3 linked regions of the Tribolium castaneum genome follow. The protein of the gene in region 2 interacts with the protein of the main gene of each other region in a pairwise test. Links are inferred from orthologs where the notes say so. Each region holds a gene or a part of one and is shown on either strand. Other genes may lie near its edges. The genes, in order: SH3PX1, shi and Su(dx).

Region 1 (2,827 bases), on a different chromosome or scaffold from region 2:
AAATATTTTAAGGATATTCTAGTTTTGTTATTGTTATTAATTCATTTTAATAAGTCTCTGACTTTTTTCAAAATTTTTCTATAATTTCTTATAACCAAAATTATTTAATGAATTTATTAGCATAATAAATGTATGCACAAGAAAATATTTCTTATGTCATTCTGAAAAATACGATGCTTAAATGTTCTATTGTTCTAAAAGTATTTTAAAAAATGGCGCTAGAGATCAGTAATTGCTAACGTATCTGTTTGAGAAATTAATTTTATAAATTATTTATGTTGCGCCGACACGTTAAAAGATCGATTATTATTACCCGTATCTATTTTTCATAACTGAATTACAAATAAAAAGTCGTCAAATTTTGAGTTTTATAAATTAATTCGGGAAACCGACCCTAAATTAAATTAATAAAAAATAAACATTACATGACATTTAAGCATAAAAATTCTACGCTATCGTTTGCGTAAGTTTCGAGATATTTTGTTTTTTTAATATTGTTTATTACATTATATTTCGTATGTATTTGGTTTGTAATTCCTAGACCTGGATGAGATCTTGGTTACAATAAAAAAAATACAAACTATACCCAACTGAAAAAAGACGTCTTTCGTAACTACTTAAAAGTAAAAAAAATAATCGATTTTACAAATATTGACGAAGTCACAATACATTTTTTAAACAATGTTGGATTCCACTCCTTGTTTATTATCAACGAAACAATAGAAATAATTAATACTGATAAAATTTGAATTTAATATTTCGATCTTTACTCCCTTGATTGTTCCAATAAACAATCAATAAATGCTAATTAAATGAGATAATGCGTACAATCTGAAAAAAACAACAACCGGAGGCGCGCATCGCCCTCATCGATCAATCGCTTTTCAGGCACGTTAAAAGACATCCCATCCCACACAAAAATTCGAATATTTCGAGAAAACGACAACGTGTTCCGATGGGAACTGATCTCGGACCCGTACACGGTCCAAGTGACCTCACCAAAAAAAGCGTCAAAAATGGGCGGCCTCAAATCATTCATCGCATATCAATTAACACCATCGTTCACCGGAATCGAAGTATCCCGCCGTTACAAACACTTCGACTGGCTGCACGACCGCCTCTCCGAAAAGTTCAACATAATCGCAATTCCTCCGCTACCGGATAAACAGATTTCGGGCCGGTATGAGGAGCATTTCATCGAGCACCGGAGAGTGCAGCTGCAGGAGTTTGTCAATTACGTGTGTCGACATCCAGTTCTGTCGACTTGCGACGTTTGGAGGCATTTTCTCACCTGCACTAACGAAAAACAGTGGAAGGAAGGCAAGAGAAAAGCGGAGAAAGACCAGTTAGTCGGGGCGAACTTTTGCCTGTGCATCGAGGCCCCAGATAAGGACTTGTTAGCGTCGACTATTGAAAGTAAAATTGAGAGTAGCATATCGTACATTAACCAAATGGACCAGTGCATCAAGGGCTTGATGCAGACGGCGTCCGATCAGCAGAAAAAATGCGAGAATTTGTATAAAAGAGAACATACGAAAATTGGCGAGAGCTTTTTCCAGCTCGGGGTCGCGTTCGAGCACAGGGAAGGTGGATTGTTCTCGGATTTGGCCACAGGTACCTGCAGGTGATTGGAGACTTGGAATAATCTGGTTGTTTCAGATGTGAAGAAAATTGGGACCACTTATATTGAAATCGCCAAGTTGTGCGAAGATCAGGCGAAAATCGATTGGCAGCCGCTAACCGATAAGTTGTACCTCTACAGGGGGATCACGAGTTCGTACCCCGATATTTTCTCGATGCAAAAACACGCCGAACAAAAGAAGAAGGAGTGTGAAAGGAACACGCAGTTCTCACACCAGCAAATCACTGAAGTTAGGAAGCGCACCGATGTTCTGACTTACTCGGTTTTCGCCGAACTCGACCATTTCCAGGCTGAGATGAACACCGAATTTCGGTCAGCCATGCGGTCGTTTTTGCAAGAACAGGTCAACTATTACAAAAATGTAGTGAGCAGATTGGAAGACACCTTGAGGAAGTTTGAGTAGTTTTTCTTGCCTTGTTATCATCTATCGTGTTTATTTCCAAGCCAAAACAATTGTGATTTAACTTTTTATTATATAATCTGTTATATGTTTATCCTTACGTGCTGTGTATATTATGGAAATTCCAACGTTTACATTAATTTTTATTTAATAGAATCACCGAGACATATTTTGTACATGAAATGTAATTGTATATTTCTATATATTTTGTTAAGTCAGATGTAATAAATGTGCTTACACGAACGCTGGTTTTATTCTCCTCCCGAGACAAAAGATCATTACTCTCCGTCAATTGGAAATCGTGACCTTAAACCACTTAAGGCAAACGGAAAGGACGCTTCTGTAACATCAATAAAATCGACCGGCTTTGACCATATCAGGAATTAGAAATTGACCCGACGCTCATTCATGCTATTTCAAGCAGGATTAGCTATAAAATTTAACGACCCAAACAATCCTAAAAATAACCAAAATATTTTTCACAGATGGGGGCAGAAAGGCACTAAGCGGCCGTCGAAATGGGCAGCAGAGAGTGCTGCGGCTTGAACGTTGTCAAAAACGTGTTAAACTTCTTCAATATAATCTTCCTGGTAAGTGTGATAATGGTCGTTCAACTTTTCACAAAGTCACGCCCACGTTAGCTCCGTATTTGTCAATGAGTGCATTCTGCATTTTAATTATCAATTCGATGAGATTCTCACGGATCGTGGTCAGGAACAAGGCACTCCTTTGTGCTCTTCGATGGCCCTTATTACATAAGTACACCTACAGACGGCACGCAAACT
Region 2 (4,447 bases):
CAAAATACAACACAAAATTAAGTTTTTCTACTTGATGATAAATAGGAAAAAATTAATAACTTTTTTAACATTGTCATAACTACGGATATCTAAGGATTAGGATATGATACGACGTACAAATAAAACGTTCCCGTCCTTGATAGTTCCGTTAATGTCGTCAGAGAGCGCAGTTTTCAGTACAATGAATGAAACAAAACATAAACATAATACAATTTTTTTTCGAAAACTATGTTAAAAAATGCACCATATTTTTAACAGTTAAAAAGAAAGTTGTAGAGAATTAAATTTCCTACAAAAAAGCCTTATGTTCTATCCCAAACTCGTTTAAATACACCCAAACGACGGATTTATTTTATTTTCCCGGTAGTCAAGTACCAGATAGACTATTAAAACCAAAACCGTTAAAGATAGGAATATGGTCTCCGGACTTTTTTGAAGAAAATTTAATTCTTTATAATTTTATTCTTCACACTTTATTTGTATCTTCACCCGTATTTGCAGAGTTTGCAGGAATATGAGGTGGAACGCAGATTGAATTTTTTTATGTTTCTTATGAAAATTTTAAGCGCTCACATTTTTACTCAGCCGTACTATTTTTTTGTATTCAGAAAAACCGGCAAGTTTGTATCTCGTTTTGTTTCCTAAGTTACAGTCTTTCGTACAATACAAGGAGTCAACAGTGGGTTTTTTTCTGACATGTTCTAAGATGAAACCAAAAATACTAATTACACTTACCACCTGGAGACTATTTAATTTTTTAAAACATCAAATGTTTCAACATTGTTGAAACTAACTTGACAATACCCAAACAATGTAATCGCGGATTAATTTTAAATGTTTTGATGATTACCGATCTGGTCTGCTAGAATCATTGGTTGCATATTAAGAAAAATTAAAAAATAATCCAGTATTGACTCATCTTGTACGTTAAAAAATTAATTAAAAACATATTCAATACAATATAATAGTAATGTCACACATTTAACATTTCATTCGAAATACTTTTGTGGCATTTTCTTTTGCTGTAGCTAAACTGTATTTATAGCAAGAGCACATATGAGTAAGACATTAAAAATAATTCAAAAACAAAATTAAAAAAAGTCAATTATATCACGTCTGACTCCTCAACCGCAATTTATTAATTGTCCTAATGAAGAACTACCATGGAAATTACGAATAGAATCTAGTTAACTTTATAAAATGTCTTGTGTTTTGCAGCTTTGACCGGGTCAGGCGCGTAACCTTAAGCGAATAACCCTGTATATAGTTGGTACATTTTTGCGATGCATAAAAAAAGTAATTTTTGAAGAATTTTTGAGTGATTTTAAAGTGATTATGATTTGATTAAACCTAAGAATTTTTATTTTTGTACAAAAAAACATATCTCAAAAACTATCTTTCTTTGCTAGTTACAGTGAGTAGGCCATGGAAATTTGACATTTGATCACATTAGCCCAAAACACTGCGTATATTGCGTCATTTGATCAATATACACGATGTTTTCCCAAACTGTGCGACATAAAAAGAGTCTCTACGTTACATAATCGGGGATAAATCCCAATTCCCAGAATCCAAAATCCAAATAAATCGCTTATGCAACCAGCAAAACAGTTGTTGAGTGCGCATGCGCCGCTGTATTGATATCACTCCGAATTCAAAAATCCCATTTTATCAGCTTGAGTTTGACATTTATTCTTGAAAAAATCGTTCCCTTATCACTGTAATCACTGTTCTATCGCCCAATTCTCCCCGAAACGTGTAATTTTGTGATATATCTCGTCGTGAAGTGTAAATGGATGAGTCATGCGCGTTCAGTTATGATTCGGCCATGTTCCCAAGTGTATATTGTTAAAGTGTCGAAGTGAATTTAGTTGTTTTCGAGGGAAATTAGCACAGTTCCGGCCTAAAAATGGCAGGAAACTCCGGAATGGAGCAGCTTATTCCCATCGTGAATAAGCTGCAAGACGCTTTCACCCAGTTGGGGGTGCACATGAGCCTGGATCTGCCCCAAATCGCTGTTGTGGGCGGACAGTCGGCTGGAAAAAGCTCCGTTTTGGAGAATTTCGTCGGAAAGTGAGTAGAGCAGCCCCTTTCTGGGGGCGTGCATTGTTAATACGGGGGTGGGTTGACGTCACGTCGGTCTGTGGGGGTGTATTGATTTTTAAATAATTTTGATAACGAGTTGAATGACATTTGTTATCGTTTCTTGCAGAGACTTCCTTCCGAGAGGATCCGGGATTGTCACCAGAAGGCCCCTTATCCTACAATTGATTAACTCCAATTCGGGTGAGTTGGGGGGTTTAAAATGCCACGGTTGGCAGCCCTCAAAACAATTGACGGTGGCTCAGGAGACAATTGCTCCAAGTCTACGTCAGCTTATTTTTTAATTGATAATTTTATCAGTTGGCAATAACGTTGTCAAAAATCTTGTCTCAAATTAGTGCATTGTTTTGTTTTTGTCCGGTACAAGGTCGGTTGTAAAAGTTTTGGAACCGTACCAAACATTTATGGCCCAGGAAATTCGCAAATGACAAGTTAATCAGGCTTGGCCGTGACATACAGGGTGCAACCCAACTACTGCTACCAACCCAAATTATGGCAAAAAATTGTTGTACCAACTGTAATCCTCAAAAAGTCTTTAAGTTTCGTTTTAATTTCAAAAAACAGGCTAAGTGAAAAAAATAAAATTACTTCATTACGAAATAGTTGAACAAATGCACCTGTTATTAATTTATTTTTTCTGTTTTTTAAATTATGGACACAACCTTCAATTTATCTCACAATTGTTTTTAGCTTGTGACATGTTTTAAGTCATTTAGGCTTATGACAAATGCATTTCGTTTATCATTACCAACGTTGGTTTCGTTAGCTATGAAAATAATTGTTTTATAATTTTAAATCGCGGAAATGGCTTCTCGAAAGTACAAACACATTCCCCCAGTTTTTCGTTTATTTTTGCTCCAAAGCGGTAATAAAGCATGTGATTTATGACCGCTTTGAATTCCACTCGCCCTAAAAATGATTATCATCACTTTTTTAAACAATTCCGAATTTATTTTCTTTGTAAACAGAAAAAGGTGGGCTTGAAACGTTCCAAGTGAACAATTCTGCAAGTTCATTGGACCGTTTTGTTTGACTTGCTTTACAAGAATTCGATTTATTTTTAAGCGCATGTTTTAATGAAAAATTCGATAATCTTATCAAAATTTAATCACACATTTGAACCTTCCACAATATTTTTAAGATTTCGTGACCGATATCATGAGCTAAATTTTTACGATTAAACAATAAAACTGTTCTTTGTGGATTTGGAATGTGTGTCATTTTAAACGCACCTCAAGTAACAGTTAAATTTATAACAAATTGTGACGCACCAATTGGGTGAATCATGGGTAGCAGAAATTAAATGTTTAACAAGAAAGAGTAAAAGTTGGAAAGTTTATTCAAATTTAATTTAAAATGAAAAGTGTTCTCTAATGAACGTCGAGTGTTTTCAACCAGAAATTCATGTGATTATGTAGTGCGGAAGAGGAAAAAAATCATATTTGATTGCGGAAAAATTAAGTAATAAAATAAACAAATTCACTGACTTGTTATTTGCTCCATTTTTCAAAAATTATTCCAGGAAATGATGACTGATGAACACATCCCAAAAAAATTTTTTATACAGGGCGTGACGGTAAAGTTGATACAGTCTTGGTAATGAGGAAGTTTCCATTTTTTTCAAATTAACACCATTAATAGTCTCCATAATTGTAAAACTAATGGTACTTTTCATTTTTTTATATTCGCAAAAATAAAAAAGTTAAGAGACCTCAAAGTTCGAAATTTGACAGATTGTGCACTTTACTGGTCTCGCTAGGTGTAACGTCACGCGGCACAATTTTCCACAGCTGCCTACTGCCGCGTGTGGAAAATTCGATTTTTTGAGGGGCTGTATCTGGTTAAAATTAACATGTTTCCAAAATTATTTCGCTGTTCCTCAATTTTTTCCACTTAGCTATTGCACTCCTATATCTTTTATGAATGTTTAATGAACTATTAGCCCTAAATAAAATAAATAAAATTTAGAAATCTCACGTTATAAAACCGTTTGATATAAAAAAATGAGAACATTACAACTTTAAAAAAGAAGAAAATCGTAATTTCATATCTTTGAAAACTCTAGGTTTATAATTATAAACCACATCTACTTATTCATCGAACGTATCTTCAAGAGCATTGACAAATAAAGAAATTGTATTTCTGTTTATGCAAGAGTTGATATTCTTTAATAAGAAGTCGTTTGTTGAACACTTATTTTTTTACATATTTTTTGTACAAAACACTTTGCAAGCATTGTTTGTTCTAGAAATCATAAAAATGTTCATTTGTTAATATTTTTAATTTTTTTAAATTAAATAGTATTTTATTAATATAAATATTTCTCATTAATTAATATTTATTG
Region 3 (4,242 bases), on a different chromosome or scaffold from region 2:
ACAGGAACCTGAAAGGAAAATTTTGTTAGCTTCGCATTTTATTTTTATCAAACAATTACCTAAACTGGCTAATCTTCCACTTGAACGACCTCTCGTACGCCCTCGGCACCCCATACACCCCCTTGGGCCCTTTGGGCGCCCCCGGCCTGGGATCATCAAACGTTGTAGTCTTCGTATTATGATCGACAAAATATCGCTTCCCCTCGTCCGTATACCTGATCTCCCATCCGGGAGGCAACGGCATATCGTCAATAACCTCCCGTCCTTGAGTCCTCGGATCCTCCCATTGCGTGGTCCGATTTTTGTGATTAACGAAATACACTCGTCCTTCCGGTTGCACTCGCTTCTCCCATCCGGGCGGCAAGGCCCCCAAACCATCGTCCTCATCATCCACAACTGAAGTGCCAGGCATGGGTCCAGGCTGAAACTGCGGGTAGAGAAACCTTTGGTTGCCTTGTTGGACAATGTGCTGTCTCTGGCCTTGCCACTGCTGGAAGTGCTCCAACCGCTCCGAATTCGGCCTCTGCCAGGTGGTGGTGCGCGAATTGTGGTCGACGTAGTAGACCCTCCCGCGGGGGTCGCGCCGCATCTCCCAGCCGGGGGGCAACGGTTGGGGGCGCTCCCACGACGTCGAGCGCGTGTTGTGGTCCACGTAGTAGCGGCGGCCGTAGGTGTCATACCGCATCTCCCAGCCGGGGGGCAGCGGCTCCTCGGCCCTCCCGTCCTCGCCGTCGCTGTTGTGCACGGCGTTGCCGTTGGGCACCGTGGCCGGGGGGCCGATGGTGCCGTTGGGCATGGGCGTGGTGGGCGACAGCGCCGTGCGCGAGGTGCGCCTCTCGGCCGTGGAGGCTCGCGACGCCGTCGGAACGACGTTCTCCGTTCCGACATTGCGCACTTTCGCCCGAATTCCGTTGAAGACGCTGCGATTGGAGACGCTCTGCGCTTCGCAGTTGTTTTGCATGAGGGGGGTCGCACTCGGCCCCGGCTTGTGAAACTTGGACATGTCGACGGTCAAGCCTTGAAATACGCAAATTAATTCGCCGACTTTGGCCGGCGATTCGGTCTTGTTTTCGTTCATGAGATCCAGTGTGAGTTCAAGGTTTTCGCAGCGGCCGCTGAAATGCTGCAACATTTGGAAAAGTTCGACTTTTTTCTCGCCCACGAGGGTGTCTTTGCGGAAATTGTTCTTGTCGTAGACGACGAAGTTTATTTTTGAGTGGGGGGTGACGAGGAGGGTGAAGGTTTCGTTCCATTTCGGTTGAGCGGTGTTTTTCACGCATTCGGTCTTCCGGGGGGAGCCACCGTCCACGCTGATTTCCACGTACGTGGAGGGCTTGATGAAGGAACTGTTACGGAGGTGGGCGCACTCGACTGAAAAATAAAATAGCATTTTTGTAGCGATTTAATAACAAAAAGCTTATCGGTTGTTTGTAAACTTCGACCTTGCCAATAAAAATGCAACATGGATTGCATTTTTCACGGAATGTTTCAAGCAACATAAAAATCTCAAAAATGTTGGAGACAATAGTTCAAAGTTTTGTTTTATTTTTATCCAAAGCTCGATGAAAAATAATCAAACATTTAAAGATAATGGTGTTAAAGATAATGAAGCACGTTATTCGGGAAAACCTACAATAAAATAAAGCAAACAAAACAACTCGCGATAAAAGATAAAAAAATACCAATGAGTACGATTATTAAATTTGCTCATATTTCCCCCGAGTTTTTGTCGCAAAATGATGTCACGACTGGTAATCACGCGATAAAAACCAAAATATTATGCTTAGTAGGTCACATAATAATAACAACAACAGGAAACGGTGCCTTAAAAATGCGAGACAAGTCTCAAATGTGGTGATTTGGTTACTTGGCCACTCTGTGTGTCCTTGAAGCAAATAGGTGATATTATCACGTGAAATTGCACCTGAAAAATGTGTCGACACTTTTGTCCTGTCATCGAAAGGATTAGTCACAACTGTCGCCGGATCGATAAAATTGATCCTAAATGTTGGAAATTACACTTTTTATGACGCGTGTTTCTGGGACGTGCCATCCCAAGTTCCATAATTTATGAAGACTGTAATTAATGCGACTTTCTCGTAATAGCCGACTTGTTCCCCTGCAATTCTTAATTCTAATTAGAATAATCGAGGCGTAGCGGACTATCGCAACATTTTTCACTTTCTAAACATAAACAAATACAAATCGGTCCAGTAAATTAATTAGGAGCTACCTATTGTGCAATTAGCAATACCGCCGAACGCTATTAGAAACAAATAACAACAAAACCTTGCCACACACGTTGTGTAATCAGGTGAAACTGTTGTCTCTAAGACTTTGCCCAAATATTTGCGCTCCTTATCGGAGATTTCGGGGACATACCTGTGATGCCGAGCTGATGGAAGCCGGACCCCTGATCGGCTGAAGGGTCCATCATTTAGAACTGCTCATCGAGACGGTGATAACTAAAACCAAGCATCAGCTGAGACCGCATTTCGGCCAAAAACATCAACTTGACACATTACAACCGAAACGAAAACTTACTTGTGGTGGCCTCACTCCGTTATGATAATGGTGATAATCTTAACAATAGAACGCTTGAATTTTGATAAAAACATGAAATTTCACCGACAGAGTAGCCAAGTAATGACGTAAAAGTGATAACAGTGTGATCACCGACACGTCAGAGAAAACAGCCAAATTATTTCACACACGATTGACGGACACTTTACACCTCAAATCGAGAGTCACGGGGGCCCCACACCGTTTTTTCACACACAAACACTCGTTATTTACGAACTGACCGAAAATTGGCCTCCATGTAAAGCACACACTCCATTCTCCAATACGCACAATGTCGCCAACCGGAGCAAAGTAAAATAACTCATTGATCACGATTTTGGGCGAGATTACGCAAATTGTTTGTGTTATTATGACCCGGTAAACTAATTTGAGGCTTGCTCAAACCTACCACGGCATTATTTACACAAATAAGCCCGTTTTGGCAATAAACTGGGGTCTTTGGTCGTATTGTTGGCAACAAGTGTCATCCTCATCCAAGTGTCATTTTTCCACGTGTGTCAACAAAATGGGGGCCGGAGACAAGAAAATTGAGTGTTTGGTTGTCGATACGACTGCTTTTATCCAAAACGCCCCATTACAAGTACGTGATCTCGTCTGTAATTACCACTTTATAACCTTACGCTTGTAGGACGTTGCGGAGAAAATGGTCACATGTCAAAGTGTCGTTGACGAAATTTTGAACAAAAGACAGCTCAAACGTTTGGTGGTTTTGCCTTATGACCTTCAGGTCAAGGAGGTTTTTCCGGAAAATATCAAAATTGTGACAGAATTTGCAAAGAAAACCGGGGATTACCCAAGTCTGTCTGCCACCGATATCCAAGTTATGGCTCTTACGTATCAGTTGGAGAAGGAAGCGGTTGGGGTGGAGCACCTGCGTACTGAACCCGTCTTCCAGAGGACTGTGACCACCACAGGGCCAACTGTCGATTTACATCCTGACGTAACAGGGTTTTTCCTGCCAGGACACACAAAAATAAAAGATAGACCAGGAGAAACAAATGAAGAAACAGATGAAATTGAGAAATTGCAACAAAAATTCGAAACAATTGAATGCGCTGACGAGGAAACAAGCGAGGATCATGACGTTCTGGTGCCAGTTGACGACGCTAGCGACATCTCTGGATCAAATTCCGACGAAGATGACGATGACGACAGTGGCTGGATCACCCCTTCCAACGTCTCCCAGGCCAAAAAACAAGTCAACTCCCAGCTCATTGAGGAAAAACACGTGAAGATCGCCTGCATGACCACCGACTTCGCGATGCAAAACGTCCTCAAACAGATGAACCTCAATGTGGCCGCCCTTGACGGCCGCATGATCAAACAACTCCGGACCTACATCCTGCGTTGTTACGCCTGCTTCAAGACTACGAGCATCATGACGAAGAAATTTTGCCCCAAATGTGGCCTCAACACGCTCAAAAAAGTGGCGGTCTCACTTAACGAAGACGGCAAACTCCAAATACACATCAACGCAAAGCGCCCTCTAACGGCGCGCGGCAAGAAGTTCAGTTTGCCGCGAATGAAAGGGGGGAAGCACCCGAATAACCCGATCCTGGCCGAGGACCACCCCATGCCCCAAAACAGGGCGAGCAAATTGGCCAGAACCAAGATAAACCCTTTGGACGATGACTACATCGCGGGCTTCTCGCCTTTTGC

What was found.
Region 1: the proteins of shi (region 2) and SH3PX1 interact in a two-hybrid assay, tested with the Caenorhabditis elegans proteins (2 studies listed by BioGRID). The link is inferred for Tribolium castaneum from reciprocal best matches to the Caenorhabditis elegans genes dyn-1 and lst-4.
Region 3: the proteins of shi (region 2) and Su(dx) interact in binary tests that used the Caenorhabditis elegans proteins (3 or more experiments, as listed by UniProt). The link is inferred for Tribolium castaneum from reciprocal best matches to the Caenorhabditis elegans genes dyn-1 and wwp-1.

What each region holds. Positions count from the first base shown.
Region 1 is NC_087402.1:7,277,783-7,280,609, forward strand, and holds the end of SH3PX1 (sorting nexin lst-4), read left to right. Parts: intron 1-888; coding exon 889-1,614; intron 1,615-1,659; coding exon 1,660-2,045; 3' UTR 2,046-2,285; downstream 2,286-2,827. Other genes in the region: CD151 antigen, read left to right, coding at 2,561-2,632. UniProt on the Caenorhabditis elegans protein: Involved in the signaling of vulval development by acting as a negative regulator of epidermal growth factor receptor (EGFR) signaling. Aids in phagosomal membrane tubule formation which is required for phagosomal fusion with endosomes and lysosomes.
Region 2 is NC_087400.1:8,007,330-8,011,776, reverse strand, and holds the start of shi (dynamin), read left to right. Parts: upstream 1-1,625; 5' UTR 1,626-1,909; coding exon 1,910-2,073; intron 2,074-2,212; coding exon 2,213-2,286; intron 2,287-4,447.
Region 3 is NC_087398.1:5,360,632-5,364,873, forward strand, and holds the start of Su(dx) (E3 ubiquitin-protein ligase Su(dx)), read right to left. Parts: upstream 2,852-4,242; 5' UTR 2,545-2,851; intron 2,466-2,544; 5' UTR 2,438-2,465; coding exon 2,383-2,437; intron 1,372-2,382; coding exon 60-1,371; intron 9-59; coding exon 1-8. Other genes in the region: RNA-binding protein NOB1, read left to right, coding at 3,089-3,163, 3,212-4,242. UniProt on the Caenorhabditis elegans protein: E3 ubiquitin-protein ligase which accepts ubiquitin from an E2 ubiquitin-conjugating enzyme in the form of a thioester and then directly transfers the ubiquitin to targeted substrates. Ubiquitinates klf-1.